Linked DNA regions of Saccharomyces cerevisiae S288C. The gene in region 4 interacts genetically with the main gene of each other region. Each region holds a gene or a part of one and is shown on either strand. Other genes may lie near its edges. The genes, in order: APA1, YJL070C, RIM1 and DAN4.

Region 1 (7,291 bases), on a different chromosome or scaffold from region 4:
GTAAATACTTTGTCTACACCATCCAAAAGAGGTCACCGCCATCGCAGATCGCTAGCAATATCAGGAGATTTTGATTTTTTGAAACAGCCTGCAGCAATTGTGAATTTACCACCTCCACAGGCGGCTGAAAATTGTCCTTCAACTGCCCCAACTGCTGTATCAAGTACATTATCGCCAATACGCTACAATAGATTTCCTTGCAAAACCAATGAAGACGCTGGAACGTTAGATTTGCCTGAACCAAGATTTTATCCGTTATCACCAAAGAACAATCTGCAAACACCAAGTCCACGATTTTTCATTAGTGAAGAGCCAAGTTTTTCATCGCCAGTTAAAGGCGTCCCAGATGCCATTATTAACCTTGACGATGCGTTGAAGACAAGGCCTAGGTCATTTAAATCACATAGAAGATCTGAATCCGCTCCTCCTGATTTGGAGGTTATGGTAGATAAGGGCAATTGTGCAGCCGGTTCTAACTCTATGATTAAAGAAGAAGAGGACTCCTTAATTGAACCAGAATCGAAAAATGAATATTATGAGCAAAAGCTTCCAACAGCACTATTATCCCCACTGCGGCCTTCCCTTTGTGTATCTGAACAGGCCATTGATGTAGATGATTCAGCTCTCAATGGGTCACCGACCCATCACAACCATGGGATGCAAAACGCCAATGCACGGAATTCCAACACATTCAATTCGTTGAAGATCAAAGGCCAAAAGCAAAGATATTATCATTATACGAAGCAGCTACCTTTGACCGTAGGCTGTGACTCGCAATCTCCAAAAGAACAAAGGTCGGCTGCTTCAATGACAATCAATCAGGCAATGACACCTTCTTCCCTGGCCTATACCCCTTCTAAACTAGCATCTACTCCCGCAACACCAGTATCCTTTTATGACAGCAATGCGGACATTAACTTAGAAAGTGATAATTTTCCACTAAAAGATAACCCTAGATATGCCAAGGATGGTTATCCTAAAAAGTGCGGCAATTCACAGCTTAATCGTGTGCTGGATAGCGATAAAAGACAGGATTTTAGTGGAGAATCGAGAAGAAGAAGATCGGGCAGTCCTATCTCCCACATGCAACACCGCAACCTGATTGATAATATGAAAGGTAGACGAAACAGTAACACGATAAACTCAATCTTCAACTACAAGAGTCAACATTATGAAATGCCATATGATGATATGATGAAAAATGAAAACATTAATGCACAGTCCATGCCCTTTTCAGTCAACGGTGTCAACAATGAAAATAGTATCGGAGGGGTTATTACGAGAGCGGACGATGCACCCCTTCAACACTCTGTGGTCAAATCCTGTACGCCTGATGGCAAGGAAGAAATGAATAGGCTTAAAAGTAATGACAGTAATGAATATTCCAAGTCTGAAGGGCAGATCAGAACCAATTCGCAACTAAGTAAGGACATTCTCATGGGTGAACCAGGTGATATGGTTGATCTGTCCTCTTTTGTCAACGCGCAGAGAAAAGCCTCAAATGAAACTGGTGACTTAGTCTTTAGTTTATCCCAGGATGATGACGCACTGAAAACGTTCCATGCGAGCAACAGCGCAGCAACAAGCAATGAAAGCTGGTGTATTAGCGATGATGCGTTAGGAAAGCAGGCGCAGGACAGTGAAGTTAGGAGGAAAAGAAAATCCAAATTAGGACTCTTTAGACATATTTTTTCAAGGAAGTAATACAACAATATTAATAATAAGTAATAAAAAGGTGAATCGTAACCTTAACGGCATTGATTGCATGTAGTTTTAATAATAAAGTGTAGAATAATAAATATAAAATTTCAAAGTCATCAGAAATAAAAATTGAATAGACATATACATATAGAAATTACTTCTATCATTTAAATACATATATATACATACATGTATACGTGTATACTTGTACTTGTGAAGGACTCAATAGTTGTATTCGTTTGGTTTTTGACCAGAAGTGTTTGGGAAACCACATTCCAATAAGATATCGTTAATCAATTCAGGTTTTTCAGTAATCTTGGAGAAAACTTCATCATTTTTGGTTAAGATCATACCACAATAACCTGTGGAGTTGAAACCTATCTTCATTTCATCAGAAAAGGCCTTCGAGCGTGGAACGACACAGATCCATTCCTTGGTTAACATAAGATTGTAGGATTTCTTTAGTTCTGGATTTTCGTTCAACCAGTCCTGGAAAAAGGTCAAAGCTCTTTGCAATATGGAGATGTAACACATAGCTAATAGGTCTTCATCAACAGTTTCTTCAGACTCCGGCATTGGCAAGACAAAATGAGCGAACGAGACTTTAGCATCTTGCAAAGGTTCAGTATTGAAAGTTGGTAGGAAATGTTCTTTACCATTACATAGTCTATCTTGGAAAGTGACGAACTTTTCAGGCATTTGCAGAATTTGCAAATGTTTGTGGTCCAATGAAGAACCACTGGCTGGACCAGAATTGTAAAAGACCATGTGTCTCTTGTCGGATTCTTCATTGTCCAAGGCACACAGCAACTTATAAGCAGTCAATAAATCGGTTGGGGTCAAGGCATCAGTTTGATGTTGGTATTCGTTAGTTACCAATAAAGTGTGTTCAGGGATTACAGGGAATTTGTTTAATAGCAATTTATACGCTTTGTTATCGGCACCACCAAATTCTGGGATAACCGTTAATTCTTCCTCAGGTTTGCCTAGTGGATCCTCTCCTTCTGGAGTTTGGCCACGCTCTGGCTTTTCGATCAGACTTGGCATGTGACTAATCAAGTATGGCATGCTGGTTTTTGGGTCCTTTGTTTTCGTTGTTTCAGTCTGGATAAATTTTAAGTTACCATTATCGAAGGCACTTTTGTACTTGTCACTAATTAAAGATGCAATGTCAGCGGGGATACTCATTTTTATTTTAATTTTTACTTTTCTGTTTGTTCTAAAATCTATCTAAACTGGCTTTCAAGATCAATCTATTGTCTTTTAAGGTAAACTTTAAATTGGAAATAATAGTAATGTTAGTTCCTTCATTTTAACCTTGTATTGTATTTCCTTTGCGTGATGAAAAAAAAACTGAAAAAGAGAAAAATAAGAAAATCTTCTAGAACGTTCCGAAACAGGACACTTAGCACACAAATACAGAATAGGAAAGTAAAAGGCAATATATGAATGCAGTGCTTGTAACTGGTGCTTGTATCCAAGAATAGCTTCTTGCTGTAGGTTATGGGAATATCGTGTAAGCTGGGGTGACTTTTGAGCTATTCGCGACGCCCGACGCCGTAATAACTACTTTCGACAGACCACTTATGACAGTATTTCAGGCCGCTCTTATAAAATGACATGTTAACAAACAGTTCTGATTATTCGCCTTTTGACAGGACGATAATGTAAATAGTTGTGGTAGTATCATTCAGGTATGTAACTGTTTACTTTGTATCGCTTGAAAAAAATAAGCATTTCAGAGCCTTCTTTGGAGCTCAAGTGGATTGAGGCCACAGCAAGACCGGCCAGTTTGAATGCTCAACTCTTCAAAAGAAATTCCTCAAATATGTCCAGTTTCATGTACTGTCCGGTGTGATTTATTATTTTTTATTTACTTTGTAGTTCTTAAAGCTAAGATTTTTTTCTTTGATAAATTCTTGTTTTCATATCCTAAAATTAAAGGGAAAATAAACAATACATAACAAAACATATAAAAACCAACACAATAAAAAAAAGGATCAAATACTCATTAAAGTAACTTACACGGGGGCTAAAAACGGAGTTTGATGAATATTCACAAGATAAAAATCATATGTATGTTTCTGATATATCGATATACAATCAAACACTTTCAAGAATTTGTTTGTAGACTTTTTGCTAGAGACCTCATCAAAGTGCTACCAACTAAGATCAACTTATACTTCTTTTAGAGAAAATTTTTTTCAATGTACTCCAAAGAGATTTAGATCCTGTCTCTTCCTCTTCCTCTTCCTCGAAAGTCAAAGAAAAATCAGAGTCTCCCTGCTTATTCAGGCGGAGAGGCTCTAGGGTAGTTGCGTTTCTCTCATTGGGACACTGAACCTCATTTTCCAACATTTTGGTCATGTAAGAGGCGACAGGCTCATCGCAGGTGGGTGCATCAACATGGTAGTACCTGGACCAAGCGCTACATTGAGTCCCTCCTGGATAAACACCGCTACAATATTGTCTTTGGACGTTTGCCCAAACCATATCTTTTGAATACCAAAGCTGGACCACATTGTATGGCCTAATCATTGGTGCTACCATAATACTGGATTGGGAAACAGTCTGGTTAATTTTTTTCAACCAATTTTTCTTATCTAGCAATGATTTAATAAACCTGAAATCTAAATTGTCTTCGTTAGCGTCTGTGTCATAATCTACAATTGAGTACTGTGACGTCCAATTATATGGCACCGAGATGGGGAATCTGTCCGGTGTTTCGTCGCTGTTATCCTTCTCCTCCCTCCAAATGCAGTCAGAGGCAGGTGCCCATTCGGTTCGCCAGTCTCCGTTATTTACTACTTGGTACTGTTCCCAATCGTAATACGTTTCCTCTGGGTTGAAGATACTTGCTCTGCTCTTGACATTGCCCATAGCCACACCACGAGAAACATCGTGGAAGATTACGGAGCTGTTTACGATAGCAGGAGCAATGGATTTGACGAATGACACTTGATAAAAGTCTTTGGTCGAAAATACAGTATCAACGCCGTCGTGGGACTCGACCCCTGGTAGAAGAAGCAGAGCATCTAGATCAACGGTAGATGCTGCAGAGGTCAAAGCCACAAAGAGGGAAGATGCAGTTACGAGGTATTTACTAAACATTGGTTCGAAGTGATTACAGATTTTTCTCTCTTGAACCCTGGAATTGCAATAGCTTGGTTCCTATTGGGACCGGACCCTCTTGCGTAAAGTATATATTTAGAAGCAGCTATTTAAATCTGAATGCAAGACGAAAAAAAGCTCGTTTATAGGAGAAAAATACCAAAAAAAGGAAAACCATACACATTCGGGTATCCCAGCTTTGCTTGCAAAATCAATCGATGAGCAAGACAAACAGGGCCAGCTGATGCATATGTTTTGTGTTGCTTTCCTACGATCAGCTAATGCGAGTGTTATAAATATTCCCCTAGTTTTCTTCTCCTCCTTTATGTAACAATAACTTGTGGACTTCCCCAACATAAGACTAAAAGCAAAGGGATAACAAGGGATTTATCTTATTCCATCCCTTTGCCTAGCGCACTGTTACGCAGCTGATCTTATCAACAAGTGTGGTTCTTGCCTCTAAGATTTACATTGCCTTTTCCCAAAGGGAAGGTGGGACAAAACTCATTTTCCCTAAGGGGAAACGTAAGATACCCTTTAGGGAAGATAAGGGAAGTTAGTAGATTGACGACGTAAATCTGTGATGAGATGAAAAAAAAAGATTAGCATCTATATAAGAAAGTACATAACCTCCATTTAAGTTGAAAAAAATTTGTATGTAATGTCTTTTCTTCCTCTTTTCTTTATTTCATTCTCACCGCTAAATCGATAACGGCTAAAACAATTAAAGCTCCCTTTTCAAACCTTATACTTCCGTTAAATAATGCAAATCAAAAACATTGTCGCTGTTCTAGCTACAGTCACTGCTATCAACGCCCAAGTTGGCATTGAACCTAACGCCACTACTCCAAATGCTACGCAGCCAAATGCTACGCAGCCAAATACTACTCTTCCTACCGCTTCGGTGACTACGACAGTTTCGATTGGCGAAGCCGTAGTTAATACCATGGCGGCGGGTGCCTTTGGAGCAGCAATCGCTGCCGGTGTTGCCTTCTTATTCTAGGAACATTTTTATTTCCTTTATTTTTTTCTTTCTTTCTAATTCCATAACCGTTGTTCAAAATTGGGGAGCTTTTTAACTTTCGTTCCATTAAGCTTTTTCTTTGTTCTTTACGTTTGATTCTATTTCAACCATAATTTATTTTTTCGTTATTTAATAATTACTAATATTTAATACTAGATGTATATACGTTGTGTGTATGCGCTACTATAGTATAGCTTAACTGTTTTATTATACCCTTTTTTTCTCTCTTTACTGTACAGAAGATGCGTCACTAATTCAAAAAAAAAAAAAAAAAAAAAAATATAAAAAAGAAAGATTTTGGAGAAGCTATATCCTTTTGTGACATACAATAGAGAAACTTGTTCTGTTGGTAAGATATCTCATCTGAAATACAACAAGGAAAACCAAAAGCCATTTTTTCATTACTTGATCGACTTATGAACCGTATTACTAGGAAAAGTTGTTTATTCGCGATTATATTTGCATCATTATTTGTGACACATGCATTGGGTGCCGCTATTGATCCGCCAAGGCGACCACATAATGTGAAGCCTTTTCATAACGGTAATCTCGAACTTCAAAGAAGAGCAAATGAACCGTTTTTTGAAATAGATGTCAAGAGTCTGAACACAAACTCACCGATATCAGAGTTGTGTAAAAAAGATTTGCACGTCATTGAATCGTCTCATGATCTTTTTCATTTACAAAACCAATGTGAATTCATCTTGGGGTCATTAAAAGTCACAAACTATGATTCTAACATTTTGGATTTGAACAGCTTGAGGGCCATTGGTGGTGACCTGATTATTCAGGATTCACCTGAACTGATCAGAATCCAAGCCGGGAACTTGAATAAAATCGAAGGGCTCTTCCAATTACAGGGACTAACCTCTTTGGTTTCTGTTGAAATTCCAACTTTGAAATTTTGTCAGTCACTGGAGTGGAAAGTTGTTCCCATCTTGAACTACGTCTCCATGGATTCTCAGAATATTGAGATTATAAAGGATATTGTCATATCGGATACTTCATTAGCAAACATCGAGAATTTCAACAAGGTTCAGGAAATTGATACTTTCAATATCAATAATAACAGATTTTTAGAAACTATTCATTCGAACGTTAAAACCATTAGGGGACAATTCAGTGTACATGCGAACGCTAAGGAGCTAGAACTTGAAATGCCACACTTGAGAGAAGTGGAAAACATAACGATTAGGGACACATCATTGGTCTACCTTCCACAATTAACAAAAGTGAAAAGCTCTTTAGAGTTCATCGAAAATTACTTTTACGAATTGAACCTGAACAATTTGCAGAAGATTGGTGGAACATTAGGAATTATCAACAATGTAAATTTAATAAAAGTTAATTTGGAGAACTTAACAGACATTCAAGGTGGCTTGATGATCGCCGATAACGAATCCCTCGAGGATATTACTTTCCTGCCAAACTTGAAGCAGATTGGAGGTGCTATTT
Region 2 (8,613 bases), 400 kb from region 4:
TCGTTAGCTGCTGCTATCATTTTGGATTACGAAACAATCCTCGACAAGCATTTGGCTAGCTTAAGCATAGATACAAGACTTTCGATTCATTATGTCATATCTGTTTTACAGACCTTTGTACTTAACTCAGATGCGTCGTTCAATATAAGAAAATGCCTTTCCATTGATATGGACTATGATAAATGTAAAAAACTAAGCCTGACTATTTCCAAATTGAACAAGGTGAATCCATCAAAAAGACAGATCCTGGATCCAGCAACATATGCATTTGAGAACAAAAAGTTTAGAAGTTGGGATAGAATTATTGAATTTTATTTGAAGGATAAGAAGCCATTTATTACACCAATGAAAATTCTTAACAAAGATACAAACTTTAAAAACAACTACTTCTTTTTAGAGGAAATTATCAAACAATTGATAGAAGACGTTCAACTGTCGAGACCTTTGGCAAAAAATTTATTCGAAGATCCCCCAATAACCGATGGTTTTGTCAAACCAAAATCATACTATCATACCGATTATCTAGTATACATTGATTCCATTCTTTGTCAGGCTTCTAGCATGAGTCCGGACGTCAAGAGAGCTAAACTGGCTGCGCCGTTCTGTAAAAAGAGTTTGAGGCATTCACTAACACTAGAAACATGGAAACACTATCAGGATGCTAAGTCCGAGCAAAAACCTTTACCTGAGACGGTATTGAGTGATGTATGGAATTCCAATCCTCATTTGCTGATGTATATGGTAAACTCAATACTTAATAAAAGTAGGTCTAAACCTCATTCACAGTTCAAAAAGCAATTATATGACCAGATAAACAAATTTTTCCAAGATAACGGCCTCTCAGAGTCGACCAATCCATACGTGATGAAGAACTTCCGATTATTACAGAAACAATTACAAACCTATAAAGAGCATAAACATCGGAATTTCAACCAGCAATATTTCCAACAACAACAACAGCAGCAACAACACCAACGACATCAAGCACCCCCAGCAGCGCCTAACTACGACCCAAAAAAGGACTATTATAAAATTCTTGGAGTATCGCCTAGTGCTAGTTCGAAAGAAATAAGGAAAGCATATTTAAATTTAACCAAAAAATACCACCCAGACAAAATAAAGGCCAACCATAACGACAAACAAGAATCAATTCACGAAACTATGTCACAAATCAATGAAGCGTACGAAACATTAAGTGATGACGATAAAAGGAAGGAATACGATCTTTCCAGATCAAACCCCCGCCGCAACACTTTTCCTCAGGGGCCTAGGCAAAATAACATGTTCAAAAATCCAGGAAGTGGCTTCCCATTCGGAAATGGCTTTAAAATGAATTTTGGGCTTTGATGAAATACATTCTATGCCCATTAACTAGGATACCACAACAAGTACATATATATACATACGCATATCACTGAAAGTTCTAATTATTGCAAAGCCAGCACTTTTTTAAATATTGAATTCTTCTTCATCATTTTCAGTACCAGCGGTAAGAGATGCTGTGTGAATTTCTCGCAGTTTATCCATGATTTCAGTAATGAACGGCCTCAACTCATTGATTTCTAATAGACTTAAATTATCCAATTGTAAATGAGATTCATTCAAATACTTAAGGCCTTTTAACACTTTGATCTGCCTTATTTCCCTTAAGTCTTGTATTTTACCACGTAATTCGTGAATGGGGTCATGAAAATCATCCTTAGCTTTATTGAAAAGTATACGTGCCAAGACAAGCCAGTTCCACGGCAACTCACTAAACCTATCCGGATGAGTTTTCTCATATTGTATTTTTCTATCAAGCTCTTTCGTCGTTAACCACTGTGGTGCTACAATACTGCACTTGGATTGTTGCTTCAGTAATAGAGCGATCCAAAGAACCACTTCTGTAGAACGCATGGCTACCATATTATTTAAAGCTTTGTCATCTGTAGTAATAAGTTGCCAGCGGGTGTGGTTTCCAGTTCCTCTATCATCGCCACGAATTTTTTGGCGTGTTGTTATTCTGGGAAAAATCTTTATTGGCTCGTTTTCCACAATGAACTGTATTTCTTCTGGTGAGAAAGTCTGCTGCAAATGTGCCGGTAGTGACATGCGTCTATGAAACTAGTCTTATTTCAGATCAGCCGTTGATCCTCTCTAAGTATAAAACTCTTTTTTGTTAACCATTTCATAGTTACACTTTAGGCGACTGATTTTTCATTAAATGGAAAATATCACAAGAAATTTCACGCTGGAGAAAAAAAAGGTTAGTCATCACTGATCTTCCCATGGAGTCATAAGCACGTTCGACATAAATTGTGAAAGTTAACACATTTGAAGCTAGGACCGTCAATCTAGGACACTAGTCGGTTACTTTTATCATGTGGAGGAGAATATTCGCGCATGAACTCAAGTATGATCAACCCAATGCATCTTCAAAAAACTTGATCCTTTCAGTTCTGAATACAACCGCTACAAAACGAGAGGCTAAGGATTATCTCTCAAAATATACAAATGATAGTGGGCAGCATAATCATTGTTTGTTTTTTATCAGGGACCTGCATAAAGTCGCACCAGCGATTTTGTCCCAGTTTTCAAGTGTCATAAAGAGACTAGGAATGCTAGGTTTGCGACCTATGTTTGTAATTCCGCCGTCGCCAACTCATGTAAATATACAGGCAGAGTTACTTGACAGTATCGTTACAGAAGCAGATTTAAAGCCACTTCACCTTAAGGAGGGTCTTACTAAATCCCGCACTGGGTTATATCATTCTGTTTTTTCGCAAGAGAGTCGTTTCTTTGATATTGGAAATTCCAATTTTATACCAATTGTGAAACCTTATGTGTATAATGAAGAGACTGCTTCAGAATTCATGACAAAGGATGTTGTAAAATTTATGGATTGCCTGTGCCAAGGGAATATTCCACACATTGACAAATTCTTCATTCTAAATAATGCCGGAGGTATACCTTCGGGAGAGAGAAATGATAACGCTCATGTATTCATCAATCTTTCTCAGGAACTCGAGCATTTGTCCTCGTCATTATCTCACAATATAAGCACTCTAACCAAACGAGAGCCACGCTCCCAAAACCTGTTACACAGAATGGAGGTGTACGTTAAAAAAGATGAGATATCTTCCTTAGAATGTGAATACCATGATCATTTAGAAAACCTGTTATTGATGGACAAAGTTTTATCAAATCTAGCGGCTACAGCAACGGGACTGATTACAACTGTCAAAGCTGCCGCACTATCATCAGATAGGAAAAATCCTTTAGTATATAATTTATTGACAGACCGATCGCTAATTTCTTCTTCTTTACCAAGGTTTAAAAAAAAGGACGGCGAGATAGACTCACCAGCCAACATGTTTGATGATCACGCATGGTATGAATTGCCTTCCCAACAGGTAAATGCAGCTCCTTCTAACTCAGATGCAGTTTTAGTGACAACTGTTCTCAAAAAGGGCGTCCATATCAAAACTTATGACTATAAGACGCTGACTCAATTCAACTCAATTGGGCTTCCAAAGAAGTTTCACGTACCTGAGAAAGGAGCAAAACCCTCGAGCAATAGTCCAAAACTAGATATCAACAAATTTAAATCCATCATCGATCAGAGCTTTAAAAGATCTTTGGATTTGCATGACTACATAAAAAGGATTAATGGAAAAATAGCTACAATTATTGTGATAGGTGATTATGAAGGCATTGCAATTCTTACCTATGAAGGCTCGGAGGAAAATTCCTTTGTTTATCTCGATAAGTTCGCCGTTCTACCACACTTGAAAGGCTCGCTGGGTATATCTGATATAATCTTCAATTTGATGTTCAAAAAATTTCCTAATGAGATACTTTGGAGAAGCAGAAAAGACAATGTGGTGAACAAGTGGTATTTTCAACGTAGCGTTGCTGTGCTAGATTTGTCGATTGACTTAGACCCCGAACACTGTGATGAAAAGCAAAGCCAATTTAAACTATTTTACTACGGTAACCCTCAATACGCTAAGAGGGCACTACGTGACAAGAAACGTTTAAGAGAATTCATGAGGTCTGTCAGGGACATCAAGCCAAGTTGGGAAAATGAAAAAAATATTTCATGAAACAAAGACGCATTCTCCTCCTCCTTAACTTTCAAGTTTTCATTTTCAGTTTTTAAGGTATCTATATAAATATATATATCTTACTATGCAAAGTTGTTGATATTTCACTTTACCCTACCAAATGGAGTTAATTACTCCAAAGTGATCCCGAACGAAGTTCCACTCTTGATCCAATGTCTCCTTTCTATATCTTCTTCTAATCATCGGAACGTTGTGCTTTATCGAGGTATCTTTCGCTGTATCGTACCAATTATCTATCCCACCCACGTTCTCCTCAAAGTAAGGCGCCTTTTTAACTCCAACGCCAATCCAATGAGCCTTGTACCAACCTTCATAGCCACTAGATAGCACACTTGTTCTCGACAACTCGCACAAATCTGTTGGGTTCAGCAAGTAAATACTTGCTGCTACACTGTATTCTTCAATGAGAGGTTCTAGCGTGTATGAACTATTGTAAAGAATCGATTTTGATGATAAAGAAATTTTTAGTCCCATCTTAAACATTTTCATGAAAGGATTTGTCTCATATGATCTTTGTTCGCCCACAGTGATATCTCTAGAAGGATTGATTTTGGCTGTTTCCTGGTCTTTCAAATAATCATGTTCTAGAAGCACGTTTTTATTCTTCAAAAAGGTCGATTTTTGCGAATTCAGTAATGAAACAGATGATAATGGCGCAGCTAAAATGGGTATTTGAAAGAGATAAAATAAATATTGAATCATTGTTGCAGTATCCCAAAGCGGTTCTACCTGTAGCAGACCACCATTACAAAGCAGTAAGTTGCACACTAACGATTCAACTTGATCTGTAAAATATAAATCCACTCCAAATTGGGAAGTTCTGCTGGATAGTGGAGAACAATAATTTCTTAGGGTGATTGTATTTTGAAGATTTTGTGACCGCAGAAAATTAACTTTCGCTAAACTTTTATAAATATAATACATGTAATGCGCAACAGTTGGATTGTCACCCTGTGCTGTCCAAAATTTTGGCTTACAATTCATATCAGTAAATTCTTTCCAGTAATATTCATCCGACTCTTTAATGACCAGATCCATAGAACACACATTTGATAAAAAAAACTGCAGACCAATGATATCAGTATTTACAGATGAATCTATTGGTAACTGCTCCTTTTCCAGAGTGAATAAAGGATTGAAGATAAGATCCAAAAACTCCTGGAAATTTGACACGACATTTTCCTTGAATAGTTTGGGAAAAATCCTGGCAATTTGTATATTCCAGCGGATATTATACGATACTAGCTTCCATCGTAGCAACCATTGAGAAAATTTCTTGTACCAGTCTTCACCACTGGAATAGAATTGAAAATTAACTGATACTTGGGCCAATTGGTACTTTGATTTTTCGAGGATATGAATAACGTATTTTATGAAAATTTCTGCTAGGTACTCACCTTCAATGAAATTATCAAACTCCAGAAACACTTTGGCTAATAGGTAAAACCTCATTTCTTTGCCGACCAACTTTGCTACTTTGTTAGGAGTTAGATGGTAATCTATTAGGTAAATATTTCTATACCAATCCAAGAATTCATCATCAATCAATTTCAACCCAATCGCAATGGGTTGGTCATTAGAAGAACAACCAAACTGAAAAATGTCTCTCAAACTGAGTTTCCTTGACGTTTCCGGGTCTTGATAAACTATCCTTTCAGGTTCTAAATTTATTTTCTCCCATATATATTCACTCAATTGACGTTGAGAAATACAACCACTTAAAGACAAGTCTCGATCTACCTTACGAGAATTATAAAAATCTCTGTAGGGAACATTTTTATTAGCTAAAATTTCTTTCTTAGAGTTTAGGTACTGAAACAATTCAAATTTATCTAATAAATAAGATAATCGCTTTCGTGAAACCTCGTTGAATTTATGAGATTGGATTAACTCTATTATGTATGCAAAATCATCCCTAAATTCTTGAAACGTAGGCACATCTGTTAAAAATTCTTCCTCTAGTGACTCCTCCTTACTAGAATAAGGTGAAAGTGGGTTTTGCGTATTTTCCTGATTACTTAAATGGTAAATGTATTGTTTTTTGTAATCCTCTAAATCGAAATATTCACCGGTGTATGGTACTTTTATATTTCCTTTTCCTTTCAAACCAGATTTTGTGTAGTAGTAGTAGTGATCGGTAAAGTAACTTGGGTAATAGTAGCCATGGCGGTGCGGTGTAGCGGCTCCGGTCCCAGTACTGTCTCCATCGTCATTTAAGTCAGAGTCAGAGGGATCTTGGAATCGTTTATCGTCTTCAAATCTCCAAAACTTTGGCAGTGGTTTTGGGTATAAAAACCACTTTTCAGTGTCATTTTTTATGTTTGAAATGCCATCTTGTTTGGAAGCAGCAATGTATCTTTTTCTCATTTGAGAAACCAATTCAAACGGATTAATGAAAAGATCTTTAGTTTCTTCACCCGTTTTCAGATTTGAGGGCGTGTACGATGAGACAAAGCTGTCACTTTCTCCATTTCCATAATGATGGGAAACTGAAGGAAGTGGATCAATTTTGTTTTCTTCGTCTTCAAGATCGAAAAACATAGGTGAACCTAAAACCATTTGCCTGTCAAATTCCGTGGGCAAAGAAATCATATCCATATCATCGACTGATATTTCCTTCTGTTTCAAAACAGATGGGGAGACATCACCGTCATTCTCTGACAAGACCCTGGCTTCTTTATTCTTCGTCTCATTAGGCTTAGTAACAGAATTTTGATATTCGTCAAAGAGTAACGAGGGCCTTCTCTCTACCGCCTGCATAATTCCCAGCGAGATGAATAAGTAAAGTGAGATTTAGATAACTCTTACAGAGGATATTGAGAGGACATTTTAATCAAATTCTTTAAACTCAATGTCCCCTTTTTTTCCATATATTATATTTAATTTCTCGGACAATTTTTCATTTCTGACTATAAATGACAGCAAGAAAAAAGTGGGCAGAATCATATTCAATTTCAAGTTTCTTCGCAATTTTTTTACAGTGATATTTTGTGTATGTATTTGTACATTGCTTTTAATATCTAAGTTTGTCTATAAATGGAAATTTAGTAGTGGTTTAATTTCCAGAGCCTCACTTTACCTTGTTCGTTACCCACGGCCAGTAGCCCACCAGATGGCGAAAATGCGACACTGGTAACTTTACCCAAAGGCGTCCCGCTGGTAGGCCAGTTGCTGAACACGCTACAAGAAGGCAGATGAACTAGTCTCAAAGCATCCTTGACTGCACGGGATGCCATGCACAGTATTTGACCATCAGGGGAAAATTGTAGATTAGAAATGGTAGTTGTTAGCTGGTCCAAGGCGGCGACAGGTGTAGGGGTCGACGAGGTCATAGCATTATTTCTATCGTAAAGATTAACAAATCCACTCTCACTACCTACCGCAAGCCACCTATTTTGCTTTATCTTACTTATTTGAAGAGCCGGACAAGTAGTTGTTGTCCCACCACCAACTTGGATTTTTGTTATACCCACGCCACCTTGGTCTTTCCATCTTCTTATAACATGGCCATTCTTATTCAAGTCAAATTCCCACACTTCACCATACGCGTTTACAGCAATTAAAATGGTCCTAAACTTACCACGTGAAATAGGTTGATAATCGATACAGAAATCCGTTATCACACCTTCTATCTTGCAGCCCATTAACCATAGTCCGGAAGTGGAATGTAAAATGTTAATCCAACCATTATTACCCTGTAAAAGGACAATTCCATGGACAGAATTTGTTTGTGAATTCTGCAAATGTGCAACTTTGAAATTCTCAAATGATCTTTGAGTGGACTCATGTCCATACAATCTGGAAAATTTTTCGATTTTGGCAGTCTGTGAATGAGTTAAATTTTCTAAGGATAAGTCCCAGGAATGCATATATCTTCTTCTACCGGCGGTGAATATATTTTGTTGATTTTGGTTTGATAGAGAAGTATAGAAAGTACATGTTTGTATTGGAGACCCAACCAGGTGCAAACTTGTCACTAGATGGTTCGTTTTCCCGTCAATATGATATATTCTTAAGGTCTTATCATACCCACCCGTTAACAGTAGAGGCTTAGAAGGATGGAATGAAAGAGATTGTATGGCGGAATGAGACGGGTGTGATGCATTTGCATCTTTAAGACGCACAATGTCAAGTTTCTTAGGGGGTAATAGTTTGGAATTCGATAAAGTGTCTTTATAATTGTAAGTAGTAGACAGGATCTTCGTTAGAGCATTAATATCTCCATTAATAACATTATTAGAGCCTTCTTCTTCATCGTCTTCTTCGTCATCTAATTCAGAATCAGATTCATCGTCCACCCATTTGGGCCTTGGATATATCTTTTCAAACTGAGATCTCAATCTGTTGATGTAATGAACACCGTTGATTTTGGACTCGTTATAGGAGGTTCTTAATTTCTTTGTCTTATTGGTAACAAGAATAGGCACTTTAATTTTTTCATCATCCGAATCTATCCAAGCAGCTTCTTCAGAGTCCTCAGAATAATCATCGCTTGAAGAGTCATCTT
Region 3 (6,587 bases), on a different chromosome or scaffold from region 4:
ATTTAAGAGAAATATTAAAACGCTAAGAAGATAGCTCCCATAATAGAAGTACAAGTTATATTTATCGTTGTCCAACTGCAGAAGTTAAATAAAGGTAAATAAATCGAGCTAAGAGAAAAAAAAAGTATAGGCAAAATTCCGACCGGAGCTAGCTTTATCTTGCTCCTCCACCTAAGTCACCTGCTCAGGTCACTCAAGTTCACAATCTTCTGAGAGGATAGATAAAGGAAAAATTGGAACAGATCTTTTCATGGCCTGGCAATTGTCTGTGGATTGGTAAAGCTCTGTCAGTGAAAAAAAAAGTTCTCGCTCCTTCTTGGTCTCTTCTATTGCCTGAGATTCTAATGCTTTCCTTACATTGTTTCATAAAATAACCAATTTTTCGTGTCACAATAATCTTGAAATTTGAAGTTTCTAAAATGCATCAGACATGGTGTCGTAATTAGTTGACTTACTTTAACTTCTACCAAGAAGTAGAAAATAGCAGAGTGCGTGAACGCATAGCAGAGAACAAAATACTTACTAAACCTTTTCGAATAAGTTAGCAAGAAGCTTTTAAAAACATAGACTTAGAAATTGTCCTGCACTTGGCAAGGAAGAAAAGAAAGATTAGTTAAACAGAAATCGAAAAATGCATGATGAAAAACTAAGTAGACCTCTTTAGAAGTGTCTTAGCGGCTATTGTTCATGATACTTTTGAAAAGAGCCCTGAGATTTTCCATTACCATCAACAGGACCAATGAATAGCTAAAAGAATCGAATGTATCTATCGGAAAGGATTTGAAATTTCGGCCATTTCCTCATTATGAAGTTCAACTTCCATACTCTCGTCGTCGCCATCATTTTCATTATCCTGGTTGTCGTCATCGTCATCTTCTCCGGGCATGTCATTAGCATCTATATAAGGAACCTGTTTCTTAGACAAATTCTCTTTTATCTGTAGTGAGCGTATGACGACCGAGACAATTCCGCTTGATATTGCCGTAGCCAAGAGGGCGTAGCAACCTCTCTCAAACTTGGGCACCATATCTGAAGCAAAGAATAATATAGACCACCATGCGTTAACGGCCCCTGAAAACATATTCATGGAAGCAAGAACGATAGCACGTTCTTGAAGATCTGCATGACAAATAATGTTTGCCCACGAAAAAAAAACCGCTTGTCCAGCGTATGCTACGCCTCCAAGATACTGTGCAGAAAAGACGACTTTTGGATTTAGTGGGTCTGCACGTATTAGTACCGCAACAATAACCATTACCAATGATATGAAAACAGAAACATGCCAATGCCTAGCTCTTGGGATCTTACTCATATATACAGCAGAACAAAGCGTAGAAACTATACCTACGGCAAATATCCCCGAAGGATAATTATTTCTTTGCGCCAACGTATATTTTTGGTTTTGTAACCATAATGCAAATGTAGAATTAGATGCGAAACCCAAGTTCTCACCTCCCAGAACCCAAACAAGAGAGAACATCCACCAGTGCCACCTTTTTAAGACTCTAGGAATAGTCGACCAGTCTAACCGGGTGCTTTCGTCCCTAGCGGGGAGCCTTCTCCTAGCATAATGTAGCTCTTGTTCATTAAAAATGTATCTCGTCATAGAAAATTTGCTAACAGCACTTGTTTGATCAGGAAGGCCGGGGAAGAAAATAAACCCATAAATTGCAATGGGTAATGTGATACAAAAATCAATAATGAATAACCATCTCCAACCCGCCAAGCCATTCCGCCCATTCAAATGAGTAAAGATACTTGTTTGCATAAATCCACTGAACATAGATCCCACCAAACCGCTACCTGTAAAAATAGCACTTCTAATGGGCAATTCGTCTTCTTTATACCACGAACCCAAAACAAAATGTGTTCCTGAAAATGTGCAACTCTCAAATAAGGCTTGAAAGAATCTAATTGCGCAAATATGTTTGAACGATGTAACTTTGTACATTCCCAAGGTCAATAAACCCCAAGCAAACGTACAAAAACTTAGCCATATCCTGGGCGGAACACACAATAACATTAAATTATTGGGGACCATACCTACAATGTAACCAATCATGAAAACTGTGTTAGACACGGTCAAATCGTTTCCGACCATCTTAAGATCTTCCTTCATACCGGATATATATGCATTGGTGAAACCGACACGGTCGACATAATTAATCCAGTATTGCAAGCAAACAAATGATAGCACAAACAAGTCTATTTTAAACAGAAGTAATCTCTTTTTAATGGCACGCTTGGAAGAAACAGATTCTCTCTCAACCTCATGTTGAGTGATAGATTTCGATTCCTTCATCATGACTTAGGCCCAGGCTCTCTCCAATCAAAAATTCTGAAAACAGCTTCTCAATCTTGAATAAATCGGAATACTTTTATATCAGAATTACAGGTCCGCCTCATTTCTCTTAAGAGCCGATGTCTTCCTTTACAATATACGCATGTAGAAGATTTGATCGATGCTGAGTTCTTGTAATTCGTCAAAAATGCCTTTCAAGATCGACTACTCAAAATCTACAATAATCGGACTGCATGGATCAATGGAGGTGTAGGCAATTTTGTAACAATGAAGGATATGTTAAATTCGCTAAAGCTTCCTCCTCTTTTGCTAAATTTCATCATCAAAAAGCATTTTGCATAACACACGTTAACCAATATATTATAGTATATATACATTCTATTTGAGAATAAGCATAGTTTTACATAACTAGTTCGTTATTCCAAATGTATTTTTCCTATTTGCCATAAATATTTTAAGTAAAAGAAAGCATGCTCTAGATAAAAAATATCGAGGAAGAGTCGAAATAAGCAAGCGTAAATATTACAATTATTCTGAAGAAGCAGCATTTTCTTGGCCCTCAGCATCTTCTAATTTCTTCCCATTCTTCAATAAATTAATGTCCTTTTGAACTAAGCTCAAAGTAGTACCCTTAGAACCGTCGTCTCTCTCGAAGACATAGTTAGCAGCATCTGCTTCAACATATACCAAAGCGCTGAATAAATTATGGAAAGGAAATGTTAGTAAATTATAACGCGTAATTGTAAAGTAAGTAAAATTGAAGAATAAATAACATACCCTTTTCTAACATATTCTGTCAAAAAATTGATTTGAGGTTCATTGAAAACGGTGATATTATACCAATTGGTTTGGCCATCTCTTCTTGGTTGCGAAGCGATACTATATTTCAAATAACGATTGTTATTAGCAGAAGTATGTTCAGTGAATTCAGAGCCAATGCGGCCGACGATGGACATTTTCGAGAAGTCCATCTTCTTGGTAGTAGCATGGAAGAAACGAGCTTGAGTACGTAAAAACATTACAATGGATTAGTGGATTTTTGTTTGTTTTGTATTTGTCAAGGACACACAATTAGCAAATGACTTGTTATCAAATTCGTGGTATTTGTCTTTCTCAACTACTGTGTTAGCTTTTTTTTTTTCGTCTGGGCGCAAACGCCTTTTAAGCACTCCTCCACAAATAATAAGTATTAGATGAAAAGTCCTAAAAGTCCGAAAAATGGAATAGAAAAGAACGAAAATACAGAATCTTTACAGAACATTATAGTACATAAGTGTAGTTCTACGTAAGTCTTAAACAAAGGTTTCAAAAGGAAAATATGATTTAGCGGCGCCACCTCCATAAATTATGGATTAGCAAACAAAAGAACAATTAATATTGAAAAATAGAAGCATAGCAGAAATATCAAGCGAGACCATGGTAGTTACCAGTGGTCAAAGTTCTTTTTGTGTTTACATCGAGCCACTCACCACCAAATGGATTGTTTTCATCCAGCTCCTGACAAGTCAAGGTGATTCCACTGCCGGCTCCGCTATGGGGTAGAGCCACGTTATCCGTCTCACTGATAGTGAATTTGGTAATCACGCCTTTAGCGGATTCATGTGCCAGGCCGTCTGTAATAAATCTGGCGATTAATCTTTGACCTTCACCATTTCTTGTCAAAACAACTGGTTCTTTAAATCTCCACGTTATTCTCTTCTTTTCTTTACTGAAGGAGCCCTGAGGTTTTGATAAAGCGCTTGTTGCATTAGCACCATCGATATTCACAAAGACAACGAGGTCTTCTATTACGATTTGTGATATTTCATCGGGTAAGCTTGGTGACATCTTGACAGTCAATACAACACTTGCCTGGTGAGATTCAAATCTCCAGACCGGATGAATAACAATAGGCGCGATCGGCTCCTTTATGGAATATTTAATAGCTCCTAAGGTTCTAGAATCGATAAATGAAGGGTTAACTTTGAATTCTTCTGGAGCAACACGCTCAATAAAGGCTTGGTTCAGAATGACCTTTTCGAACTTAGCGCCATTATTGATTCTCAAATTAATACCGATAGGTAAAGGCGAATTCATGACAGAATTGGGTAAATAGTTGAGGGCAATTTCCCCAATCAGTTGGGAGTTCTGCAACATACCGTCTTTGAAAGAAGCATTGAGCACTTCTGCGATACTAGCATTCAACCCAAATTGAGATGTATCTAAAGAGGAGTGCTGAAACAACGATTGACCAACTAAAGATGTTGAAGAGCCCGTGGCTTGAGGATTTAGTTCTCTTAGCTCGCCAGTAATCTGAGAGGAGAGTGTGGAAACTGGACGTTCCTGGGGAATAGAGGACAAGGAAGAAGAAGTAGGGGTAGCGCCTGAGCCGTGATTAGGCAAAGAGTCATAGAGTTGAGAATCCCTGTTATGAATGAAATTTTGTTTCCTTGAGGGTGGTAAAGCAGGTGCGCGGATATGCAAGGGCCTTGAATCAACTTGACCTGAAGGTTGGTTATCAACCGTAGCAGTAGGAAGTGAAATACTGGGAGAGGCAGGCTCAACTGGTAATGGTTTTGTTTTTGATTGTGGCTGAAGTGGAGGTTGAGAAATTGATATCGGTACTGTCTTGGGTAAGTTACTTGAGTCTGGTTCTTTCGCAGTGGGTGGAGAACTTTGTTGTGGCGTTGAAGGAGGCACTTCAGAAGGAGTAAAAGTTTGCGCAGGTGGTGTATCGGCAGTAACAGGTGCATCTACGTTTTTAGGAGTAGCATGGGGAGGAAGAGGAGGAGTGTCACTAGCTTCACCCGGGGTCCAATTGTTTGATTTTGATGATGAATAGGTGGGTCGACGTTGCTTCTGATAAATAGAAGAAGTTGCAGTTGAAGACACTCTGGTGGAAGAATTATTCGGAGTCTCAGTGATGGATGCCTGAATATGAGAGTTTGATGATGATTGTTGTTGTCTCTTGTTCTTGGTCTTATTTCTACCGAAAATTGAGCCCACTTTAGATCTTAGGGTGTGGGACGACTTTTTTGATTTCAAGGAAGAATTATTAGTAGAGTCTGAAAATTCGTTATTCATGAGATCATTATGAGTGAGACTGGAAGATGCAGAGGCAAGACGATGTCCAATGTTTCCAAATGCACTCTTACGCTTATCCTTTTGTGGGGATTTCTTTTCTCTTTCCGTATTAGCGGCACCATTGGATACAGAGACCGGGCGGGCACCAGTGGCAGAAGCTGGCGAAGCATTATTAGGAACTACTTCTTTGGAAGAAGAGGATAGTTGGAAGTTGTATTGACTGGCATCTTTGGCAAAACGATCAATTTCACTTTGCGGTTCGAATGCCAGGAATTTCGTCATCACCGTTTCGCATTCTTTGGTAGTATTTAGTAAATAATCGCTAAAACTGGTTTGAAATCTAAGCATACAGTTTTTTAAAGTGTCCAAACGGTTATAGTCAATAGTCTCGAACAGCTCAAACAAATAGGGGCTTTGCTGGTCCCATTGCCTTCTTGCCTCTTCTAAGTGACTAGAGTTTTCGTTATTCTTACTATAGTGCTCAATTGAAGCTGCATTTTTACTAAGCTTGGAATGTAAGTCCTTGCTTTCTCTCCAGCTAGTATTGTTCTCCACGGATTCCTTCAATTCACGAACGACTTGCTGGTCCAAAGTGTTGTAGTATTCTGTACTTGACTTCAAATCTGATTTTAGTTCTTCAATTACAGTATCCCATACATTTCTTAGCTCTCCCAGCGAGTTGAATCTGAATGCACTCATTTCCTGCGGAGTCAAAACATTACTTTCAATCATTTGAGCGTTTAAGATCTTTGTTATATCTTCATTTTCAGCTATTATTTTTCTCAATTGCTGAGCATAGTTCCTCTTCAGATTTGCCAATTCCTTAAATAACAGGTAAAAGTCTTTATTCAACAATTTGACCTGCGATAACCTGATTCTAATAGTTTCGGTAGCCTCGTAAGGACTCTTAGTAGTCAATATGCTATCTGCATATTTGGTTCTTTGTTCCGTCATGAGAGGTGATTATTCGCAATTTTCAAATAAGCTTGCTTCAATACGACTACAGCAAAAGTAATTCCTTTATTAAGGCAATAACTACGAGACCTTTTCTTTGTATTTCGTGAAAACTTGAATGCAATATAGAGTTTTTCAATCTGCAAGTACTTAAGGGGCCCTTTTAGCTACACATAATATAGAAATGAAAGATCACGGGCTACGAAAAGCCATTCATAATCATATACAAATATCACCTGTAATATATAAGAATATATGAGCTATTGAT
Region 4 (9,426 bases):
GCATACAATATACACATCAAAGGAAACATACAATAGTCGATCTTCCAACGAAGTTTTCTATCTTCTTCTGGTGTCACTTCGATTTCTTTGGCTTCTTCAGCCAACTTCATGGCCTCATCAACCTTGTCACTGATGTAGACAATTTTACCGTTGGGTGATAGTACCGTGCTTAGAACTGGCTCCGCGGTTACGTCTTCATTCTTGATTTCAGCTTCTGAAGTGATGTTTAAATTTTTTTCGTCTAGGGAAGCATTCGAATTTGTACTAGCATCCGCTGACATCTTGAATTTTTTTTTTTACACTATTTGATTATCCTTGTTTTGTTGTTTTCTTCAATGTTGTTATGTTAAACCTTTCCCTCATGATCTCCTAATTTGATGTTTCCTTGGTCCATTTATATACATATATTACTTCATCCAATCTGTATATTCGGAAAACCAGATAATGATAAGTATTAGCCGTATCTTCGGAGTTACACTACCACTTAATTGTGTGAGTGATTGGTGATAACGTTCTCTGACATCTTGGCCAAATCTTTTGCCCCGATAATCCACATGATCATAAGGTCGATTGTTATTCGTTTGCTGAATTCCGCACTTCACTCAGACTAACGCGAGGGACTCTTATCGAAAAGGAACAAAGCGTGCGGCAGGAGCGCGCTGTAGCACCTTATCAGCAAATGATAGCTCCTCGAGCATTTGTCAAGTGACTGATGAGAACGCTTCTCTGATATGCATAGATGTTGCGGAAACAATCAGATACTGGGAAAGGACACTCCAGAGTCAGTCATAGGCTGTAAACCTGATTAAGGTGCAATAAGAAAGAAAAATCCGCCGGGATCCACCATGGATATTGTGCTGATGTAAAAGTATTCCTAGATTGTCTTGTTATCAATGTCAAATTCGGTGTTCATTCTGGGTAGTTATTTTGCTGAAGTCAAATTAAGTATTCTGTTTTACTCGGGATGCATTACATCTGCTTTGCGTCATAAAATAAGCATTCAAGCACCACTTTTTGATGTTTTAATGTATTTGCTCATCTCGGCTATATGGTAGAAAGCTTGAAAGTTAAACAGATGTTCATTTTTTCATCCTTACGAATGACCTCTCGTTTATCTAATCTGCTATTACGGTGTACAATAGAAACACACATGTCAAGATATAAACTAACATCCTTATCATAAGAAGAAACTCTGAGCCATCACAATTAGCGGGTAGATTTCTTTTTCCATTAATGTGAGCCAGCACTCTTTATCTTTCGTTATCCTCACTGAAGATATGGTCATCTGTAACGCCCGGATGAAAGAAAGAGAATCGCACTTTCTGTTTGCAATAACATCTTGAAAGTAGTGTTGATGTGAAAGATTGCAAGTATTTCATACCTCAAGTCTTTCTTGCTCCACTTTTTCATGCCAAAATGGGATTTCGTAGATGTTTGTTTATCCACGTCGAATCGTGGCTGTTATTTACTACGTATAGCCTTCCTAGCTTGTAAATAGTTTGAAAATTCCTGACAGAACACTCTTTCTTGCTTTTGCCTATTCTTATGAGCAGCTCTCAGGTACGGACCAGAACGCATAACGATACTTGGTGCTATATTCTCTGAAATATATGATATCTCACACTTAGGGTGCTACACATTTGTCTGAAAACCAACGACGATAAAAGCTATTTAACGTCCATACCAATTTAGCACTATGGGGAAGTGGATGTCTTTTTTTAATCATTTTCATAAATTTTAGGATTTTTTTTTATGAAGTAAACGAATCAAAATTTTTTGTTGATATTCTTTTATTTTTGCGCGAATACAATTACATAAAACTCATCAATTGTTCTCTATTACCTACCCTATTTTTCCCTATCACACGGCCAACGCCGTATACTAACCGTAGTGTGCCATAAAAAGGAATGAACGGGTAAGAACAGGTCATCCCAAACTCGGCGTATTTAATCAGTTCTTCGTGTAATAACACTTTAGGTGAGGGTGATGCTGACAGCGGATGTCAACGGCGAGGCTTGAAAGGATGACAATAAGTTTCTGACTTCGCTAAAGATGTAAATATAGCTTGAGTTATTGACAATAATGGATTAGACAAGAAGATTACATACGTCTCTGATGTTTTACGCAGCGCTGTCATACTCACACGCTTCGGCTCTACTCCTTCAAGTAAAAATCTTTTGTGTATACGTATCTTAAGCTTGGAGTAGAAGCTGTCTCTGGCCTTTTGTACTCGTTTACACGATTACAACTGATCAACAGATCTGGTTTTTTTTTTCAGCTGTTACAGATGGATTTGTAAGCCGAAAGGTATTTTCGTCATCCCCTTATATAAGATGGGAAACGAAGGTAAAAGATTAACGATAGCATCGCATATATAGGATTCCTAATTACTTTTTCGAAGTGCAAGTGGAGTATCGAACATGTCTCTGTCTGTTTACTTCGACTTTTATAGTGGCGAGATAATAAGACTATTTTATTAGCAAGGGATAACTACACATTTATTGAGGCTCCTCTTTATCCTTAAAACGGAACAAGGTTAGCATGTCTTTCAATCTTAAGTTTAAGAGGCCGCCGGACATCTTCATATCAACCCTTTTCCTGCCAGGAGGCAGGCACAATCATTTGTTGTGCATGTAGGGCTAGATTTTTGAAAATTTGGCATTTCGAGCATATGGGCCCCAGAATAAGCTTCAGGCTAGTTTTTTTTTTTTAGCTTCTATTATGTATGCCCGTCAAGATCATTAGTATCGCATGATTTGGTTGATTAACCACAGAATGTTGAGAAATTCTCACAATGGAAGACATATCGGCCTACGGTAAGATTACACTGAGGACCTTATGTAGTCTGATTGCTTCTGTTTACGCAGAGCCCCGCATATTTTGATAGTTTGATATGAAACCTTTACAAATCATTGAGAGTGCGCCGTACTCGTCGAATCGCGGGGAATGTCTTCTATTAACGTGTCCTCTACGGGCCGTCATTCCAAACGGGCAGCTGTAGGCGACTAATGAACCACCTCTGAATGCAAAGGATGTAAACTGTTGGCACAATAATGGGGCTGACGTAGCGTGAAGAAAATATAACTGATATGTTAAAGGAAATACAAAAGATTTCATGACCGCTAACACAACAATACTAAGTTATGAGGGTAGAGATTTTTCGTTACTGTTGCTATAAGAACCCGAATCAAGACCGTTTATCATATATGAACTATTATGATTGGCAAGGCTTTTTCTTAATTCAAGTCACACGTCGAGGTCTCCCTTGGAATTCGTATAAATCACACTAAAAGTTCTGTGGATTCTATTAAATGAAAGCAACGGTTCCGCTTTGGATGCATAGAACCTTCGTGAGTAATTATTTTCCAATTGGAGGAATGGATGTTATCATCAAACGATAACATTCATAGCCAAGAAGTATTTGGGTTTTCTTTTTGTCACATGTAGACTTTGATACTTCTCTGTGCAAGCTATGACAGGTTACAAAGCGCATTGAGTGGCGGGCTGCAAAAAAATGAGGAGATATTTCAATTAACAAGATCTAGTTTCCTAATACGGACCTTTTTCGGAGCGCTAGGATCAAAATTGGATAGCACAAACAGCTTCTCTCTCTCTACGAGCTAAGATCCTCTGAATGGTGCTTGCACATTCTCGTTTGCAGCATATTTACTCCTTTTCGAGTGTGCTAAACCCCAAGTGACCCAGTGTCTACTGACTGGGAAAAAGTGATCTTTCTGTTTGGTAGCGCGTATAGCACGTAGAGTAAAGTTATGTGAATGTCTATTGAACGACGACATCAAATTAACTTTTTTTGCAGTTCTGTCACTTAATCACAGATAATAAGAGCAGAACAATTTAGGCACGGGGAAATTCGATCGATCTGCCCATCCGTAGGCGTTTTCTCCGGAGAAGTTTTTACATGCTGCGCATTTCTTTGGCGGTGAAAAAGACAGTACATCGCGTGCCTTTAAAGATGTCAAAAATTATACGAGATCTGTTTAAGATCTCCATCGTTCAGGAACTGTAAAACAAGAAGCATTGGCAAAGATAGTGATTTTGCTCCAATATATTCGTTTATACAACAGCTGTTTGGTTCGAAAGCCTATAAATGGCCTGTGTAAATGGCTGTATTGAGAGTATGCTCAAACTGAAATAAGTACCAGTTCCTGTCGAATCTGCGATATCCGAAAAACTCCGAAGAAAGCAATGGTTAATATAAGCATCGTAGCAGGAATTGTAGCCTTAGCTACTAGTGCGGCTGCTATTACAGCGACCACTACTTTATCTCCTTACGATGAAAGAGTCAACCTTATTGAATTGGCTGTTTATGTTTCTGACATCAGAGCCCACATATTTCAGTACTACTCTTTCCGGAATCACCATAAGACTGAAACATATCCTTCGGAAATCGCAGCAGCCGTTTTTGACTACGGTGATTTCACTACTCGATTGACCGGTATTTCGGGTGATGAAGTAACTAGAATGATCACTGGTGTTCCGTGGTACTCTACCAGATTAAAGCCGGCTATCTCTTCAGCGCTTTCAAAGGATGGTATTTACACGGCTATCCCAACCTCTACTTCTACAACGACTACAAAATCTAGTACTTCGACTACTCCTACCACCACTATCACTTCTACTACTTCTACCACATCGACTACTCCTACAACCTCTACTACTTCTACCACTCCTACAACTTCTACCACATCGACTACTCCTACAACCTCTACTACTTCTACCACTCCTACAACTTCTACCACATCGACTACTCCTACAACCTCTACTACTTCTACCACTCCTACAACTTCTACCACATCGACTACTCCTACAACCTCTACTACTTCTACCACTCCTACAACTTCTACAACTTCTACCACTCCTACAACTTCTACCACTCCTACAACTTCTACAACCTCCACCACTTCTCAAACTTCCACCAAATCGACTACTCCTACTACTTCAAGCACATCGACTACTCCTACAACTTCTACCACTCCTACAACTTCTACAACCTCTACCGCTCCTACAACTTCTACAACTTCTACAACCTCTACCACTTCTACCATTTCTACCGCTCCCACGACCTCTACAACTTCAAGCACTTTCAGTACTTCTAGTGCCTCTGCATCCTCTGTCATTTCTACCACTGCTACAACCTCTACCACTTTTGCCAGTCTTACTACACCTGCCACATCTACGGCTTCTACTGACCATACAACCTCTAGTGTCTCAACAACTAACGCATTCACTACTTCTGCAACTACTACTACTACGAGCGATACATATATCAGTTCAAGTAGTCCCAGCCAAGTCACTTCATCCGCTGAGCCTACTACTGTCAGTGAAGTCACCTCTTCTGTTGAACCTACCAGGTCTAGTCAAGTCACTTCATCCGCTGAACCTACTACTGTCAGTGAATTCACCTCTTCTGTTGAACCTACCAGGTCTAGTCAAGTCACTTCATCCGCTGAACCTACTACTGTCAGTGAATTCACCTCTTCTGTTGAACCTACCAGGTCTAGTCAAGTCACTTCATCCGCTGAACCTACTACTGTCAGTGAATTCACCTCTTCTGTTGAACCTACCAGGTCTAGTCAAGTCACTTCATCCGCTGAACCTACTACTGTCAGTGAATTCACCTCTTCTGTTGAACCTACCAGGTCTAGTCAAGTCACTTCATCCGCTGAACCTACTACTGTCAGTGAATTCACCTCTTCTGTTGAACCTATCAGGTCTAGTCAAGTCACTTCATCCGCTGAACCTACTACTGTAAGTGAAGTCACCTCTTCTGTTGAACCTATCAGGTCTAGTCAAGTGACCACGACAGAACCTGTTTCTTCCTTCGGGTCTACTTTCAGTGAAATCACCTCTTCTGCTGAACCTCTCTCTTTCAGTAAAGCAACCACTTCCGCAGAATCTATCTCCTCTAATCAAATCACCATTTCCAGTGAACTAATAGTTTCTAGTGTAATTACTTCCTCTTCTGAGATTCCTTCTTCCATTGAAGTACTTACTTCAAGCGGGATCAGTTCATCAGTTGAACCCACTTCTTTGGTTGGACCTTCTTCTGATGAATCCATTTCTTCTACTGAAAGTCTATCTGCCACATCCACTTTCACTTCAGCCGTTGTTTCCTCGAGCAAGGCTGCTGATTTCTTTACCAGATCCACTGTTTCTGCTAAATCTGATGTCTCTGGTAACTCCTCTACCCAATCTACTACCTTTTTTGCTACGCCTTCCACTCCACTTGCTGTTTCTTCAACTGTGGTCACTAGCTCTACCGATTCAGTTTCTCCTAATATTCCCTTCAGTGAAATCAGTTCCTCTCCAGAGTCGTCTACTGCAATTACGTCTACATCCACTAGCTTCATTGCTGAGCGGACTTCTTCCTTATATCTTTCGTCATCAAATATGTCAAGTTTCACTTTAAGTACTTTCACTGTTTCCCAATCGATCGTCTCTTCATTTTCTATGGAACCTACATCGTCAGTCGCATCTTTTGCATCAAGTTCCCCTCTCTTAGTATCCTCAAGAAGTAATTGCAGTGATGCCAGAAGTTCCAACACCATCAGTAGCGGTCTGTTCAGCACGATAGAAAATGTTCGTAATGCAACCTCAACATTTACAAACCTATCAACAGATGAAATTGTCATCACGAGCTGTAAGAGTAGTTGTACTAATGAAGATAGTGTTTTGACGAAAACTCAAGTTTCTACCGTTGAAACTACTATAACTAGTTGTTCGGGTGGTATTTGTACCACGCTGATGTCTCCGGTTACTACTATTAATGCTAAGGCGAACACATTAACAACTACAGAAACTTCCACGGTCGAAACAACTATAACAACATGCCCTGGTGGTGTTTGCTCGACCCTGACTGTTCCAGTTACTACAATCACCAGCGAAGCCACTACCACCGCTACCATTAGTTGCGAAGATAATGAAGAAGATATCACTTCTACTGAAACCGAGTTGCTAACTTTGGAAACTACTATAACTAGTTGTTCGGGTGGTATTTGTACCACGCTGATGTCTCCGGTTACTACTATTAATGCTAAGGCGAACACATTAACAACTACAGAAACTTCCACGGTCGAAACAACTATAACAACATGCTCTGGTGGTGTTTGCTCGACCCTGACTGTTCCAGTTACTACAATCACCAGCGAAGCAACTACCACCGCTACCATTAGTTGCGAAGATAATGAAGAAGATGTCGCCTCTACTAAAACCGAGTTGCTAACTATGGAAACTACTATTACTAGTTGTTCGGGTGGTATTTGCACCACGCTGATGTCTCCGGTTAGTAGTTTCAACTCCAAAGCCACTACATCGAACAATGCAGAGTCGACCATCCCCAAAGCGATTAAAGTCAGTTGCTCTGCGGGTGCCTGTACCACCCTGACTACTGTCGATGCAGGGATTAGCATGTTTACCAGAACCGGATTGTCTATCACTCAAACTACTGTGACCAACTGCTCAGGTGGAACCTGTACCATGTTAACTGCACCAATCGCGACCGCTACCAGCAAAGTCATCTCACCAATTCCAAAAGCCTCCTCGGCTACTTCCATTGCTCATTCATCTGCTTCTTATACTGTCAGTATCAATACCAACGGTGCCTATAATTTCGATAAAGATAACATTTTTGGTACCGCTATCGTTGCTGTTGTCGCTTTATTACTGCTATAGTGATACAATATAATCTTCACAAGCATATAAACAATTGTAAAATAATTTAAATTGACTTGAAAGAAATTTTAAATCTATACTTGATTCATGTAGCACATAATACTACGGTTTGTGAACATACTCCTATACACTTTGAATGGTTTGTATGATATACAGGTATCTAAACATTAGTGTTACCAGTTCGTATATTAACACTAGTTAAATTTGAATCCTCTAAGGTATCGCCAACAAGTAAAATTTTACATTTAATTGAGAAGTTTTTTAATTTTTCTAAGAAAACATTAAAAATATCACAATATGGGCTTCAGCCTAAAATTATGGTTTTTTTTTTCCCTCATCCTTCATTTTATTACCTCCGTTTATTGACGTGTTCGACAACTCACATATGAAGCTTTAAATACTTTGTTCACTGTTAGTTTAAATAAAATTTAGCCTTTAGGTTAAAAATCGTGTCAAAAAAGGAATTCTTCCAAGAACATGAACTAAAGCTCTTCTTAAAATAAAGTTATGTAAGATAGAACTACGCGGCACAAAGATGGAATTGAGAAATAACGCTCCATAAAGTTGACGCTGCTAAATTCTAGGTCACAAGGCATTAGAAATGAGGGCCTTTGAAAAAATTTATTCAAGTAAACTGCTTTCTGAAGAGTTCGCTCTCATCGACATTGGTAGAAGAATAGTGTAGTGTAGTAGCAACCGTTAGTAGTTTATTAATGTCTAAAATTCAGTATAACTAAGAATAGAAGCAAGTATTCTTATACGGTATAGCAGAAACGTATAACTGATGCGGCGATGACGAATGTATTCAAAATGATGGTATTTCAGTGATTTGCTATATTTCCAATGTAATAACTCGCATCCCTACGTATATTAAATTTGAATTAACATTGAATTAATAGATCTTTAACGTAACTTCTTCCGCTAGTTTCGCAGTAGTATCTTGTTTCCTAGCCTGGAGCTATGAAGTATACTGTTTGGTCACTTTATTCAGTTACTATGGTTACTAAAATTATAAACCACCCGTTCCGACAACGACAATGAAGATCTATTTTGCAAATTTGGAACAGAAATAACCATAACCATGAGGTTCGTTATCGTTGACTACATATTACAATCCGAAATGAACATTCGGCCTAGAATGCATTGTACCTTTACAATACTTTGTAAAACATCTTTCAATGTGTATTTTCCTAGCTTAGGTAACACAACTAGGTAACTTATTGGGATGGTTGAGTCTTAAGTGCAGGCCATTTATTATCAATACTGAATCTTGTATGTTTTTGTCAACTCTTGACAGAAAGCTTCAGTCAGCGAAGCAAACTTTCGACCTTCTGTATCATATTTTTCTGCTCTATTTATAGCGAAAGAGAGAAGCCTACAAGAGGATAAGTACTAATCTTGTGATTATTGATTTTCTCCAAAGATTGGGAAAATTACTTAGTTGCACAGCGGAAATGTTTCGATCTCTGACTTTGTAATCGTCAAAATATTCTAGCAGAGCGCAACTTATTTAATTCATACTGTGCGTTCTCCTTGTGGTTTCTAAGACAATCTTTGAGCATGTTTATGGATGCACTTAGGGGTCCTACAAGCCTTCGTATGAAGTTGCCCCTCGCAAGCACACTATAAATTCATGAACAATTGCGCAGTCAAAGTTAGATTGTAAGCCGAATTCAAACGATTTCAACAGTCGTAGCTAACGAGGCCTTTTGTCTCACACCCTTACAAAGGGAC

What was found.
Region 1: mutations in DAN4 (region 4) and APA1 together harm fitness more than expected from each alone (negative genetic interaction), as found in Saccharomyces cerevisiae (2 studies listed by BioGRID).
Region 2: mutations in DAN4 (region 4) and YJL070C together harm fitness more than expected from each alone (negative genetic interaction), as found in Saccharomyces cerevisiae (2 studies listed by BioGRID).
Region 3: mutations in DAN4 (region 4) and RIM1 together harm fitness more than expected from each alone (negative genetic interaction), as found in Saccharomyces cerevisiae (2 studies listed by BioGRID).

Annotation. Positions count from the first base shown.
Region 1 is NC_001135.5:35,913-43,203, forward strand, and holds APA1 (bifunctional AP-4-A phosphorylase/ADP sulfurylase), read right to left. Parts: upstream 2,890-7,291; coding exon 1,924-2,889; downstream 1-1,923. Other genes in the region: LRE1 (Lre1p), read left to right, coding at 1-1,704; YCL049C (uncharacterized protein), read right to left, coding at 3,874-4,812; YCL048W-A (uncharacterized protein), read left to right, coding at 5,576-5,815; SPS22 (Sps22p), read left to right, coding at 6,253-7,291. UniProt on the Saccharomyces cerevisiae protein: Ap4A phosphorylase catalyzes the phosphorolytic degradation of bis(5'-adenosyl) tetraphosphate (Ap4A) into ADP and ATP. Can also use other Np4N' nucleotides (where N and N' stand for A,C,G or U) as substrates with equal efficiency.
Region 2 is NC_001142.9:303,772-312,384, forward strand, and holds YJL070C (metallo-dependent hydrolase superfamily protein), read right to left. Parts: upstream 6,867-8,613; coding exon 4,200-6,866; downstream 1-4,199. Other genes in the region: JEM1 (Jem1p), read left to right, coding at 1-1,347; DNA replication protein PSF2, read right to left, coding at 1,450-2,091; ARG2 (acetyl-CoA:L-glutamate N-acetyltransferase), read left to right, coding at 2,361-4,085; UTP18 (Utp18p), read right to left, coding at 7,151-8,613.
Region 3 is NC_001135.5:170,120-176,706, forward strand, and holds RIM1 (Rim1p), read right to left. Parts: upstream 3,322-6,587; coding exon 3,080-3,321; intron 2,997-3,079; coding exon 2,831-2,996; downstream 1-2,830. Other genes in the region: FEN2 (Fen2p), read right to left, coding at 767-2,305; SYP1 (Syp1p), read right to left, coding at 3,707-6,319. UniProt on the Saccharomyces cerevisiae protein: This protein binds preferentially and cooperatively to single-stranded DNA (ssDNS). Involved in mitochondrial DNA replication. Stimulates PIF1 helicase activity.
Region 4 is NC_001142.9:710,521-719,946, reverse strand, and holds DAN4 (Dan4p), read left to right. Parts: upstream 1-4,206; coding exon 4,207-7,692; downstream 7,693-9,426. Other genes in the region: DAL5 (allantoate permease), read right to left, coding at 1-281. UniProt on the Saccharomyces cerevisiae protein: Component of the cell wall.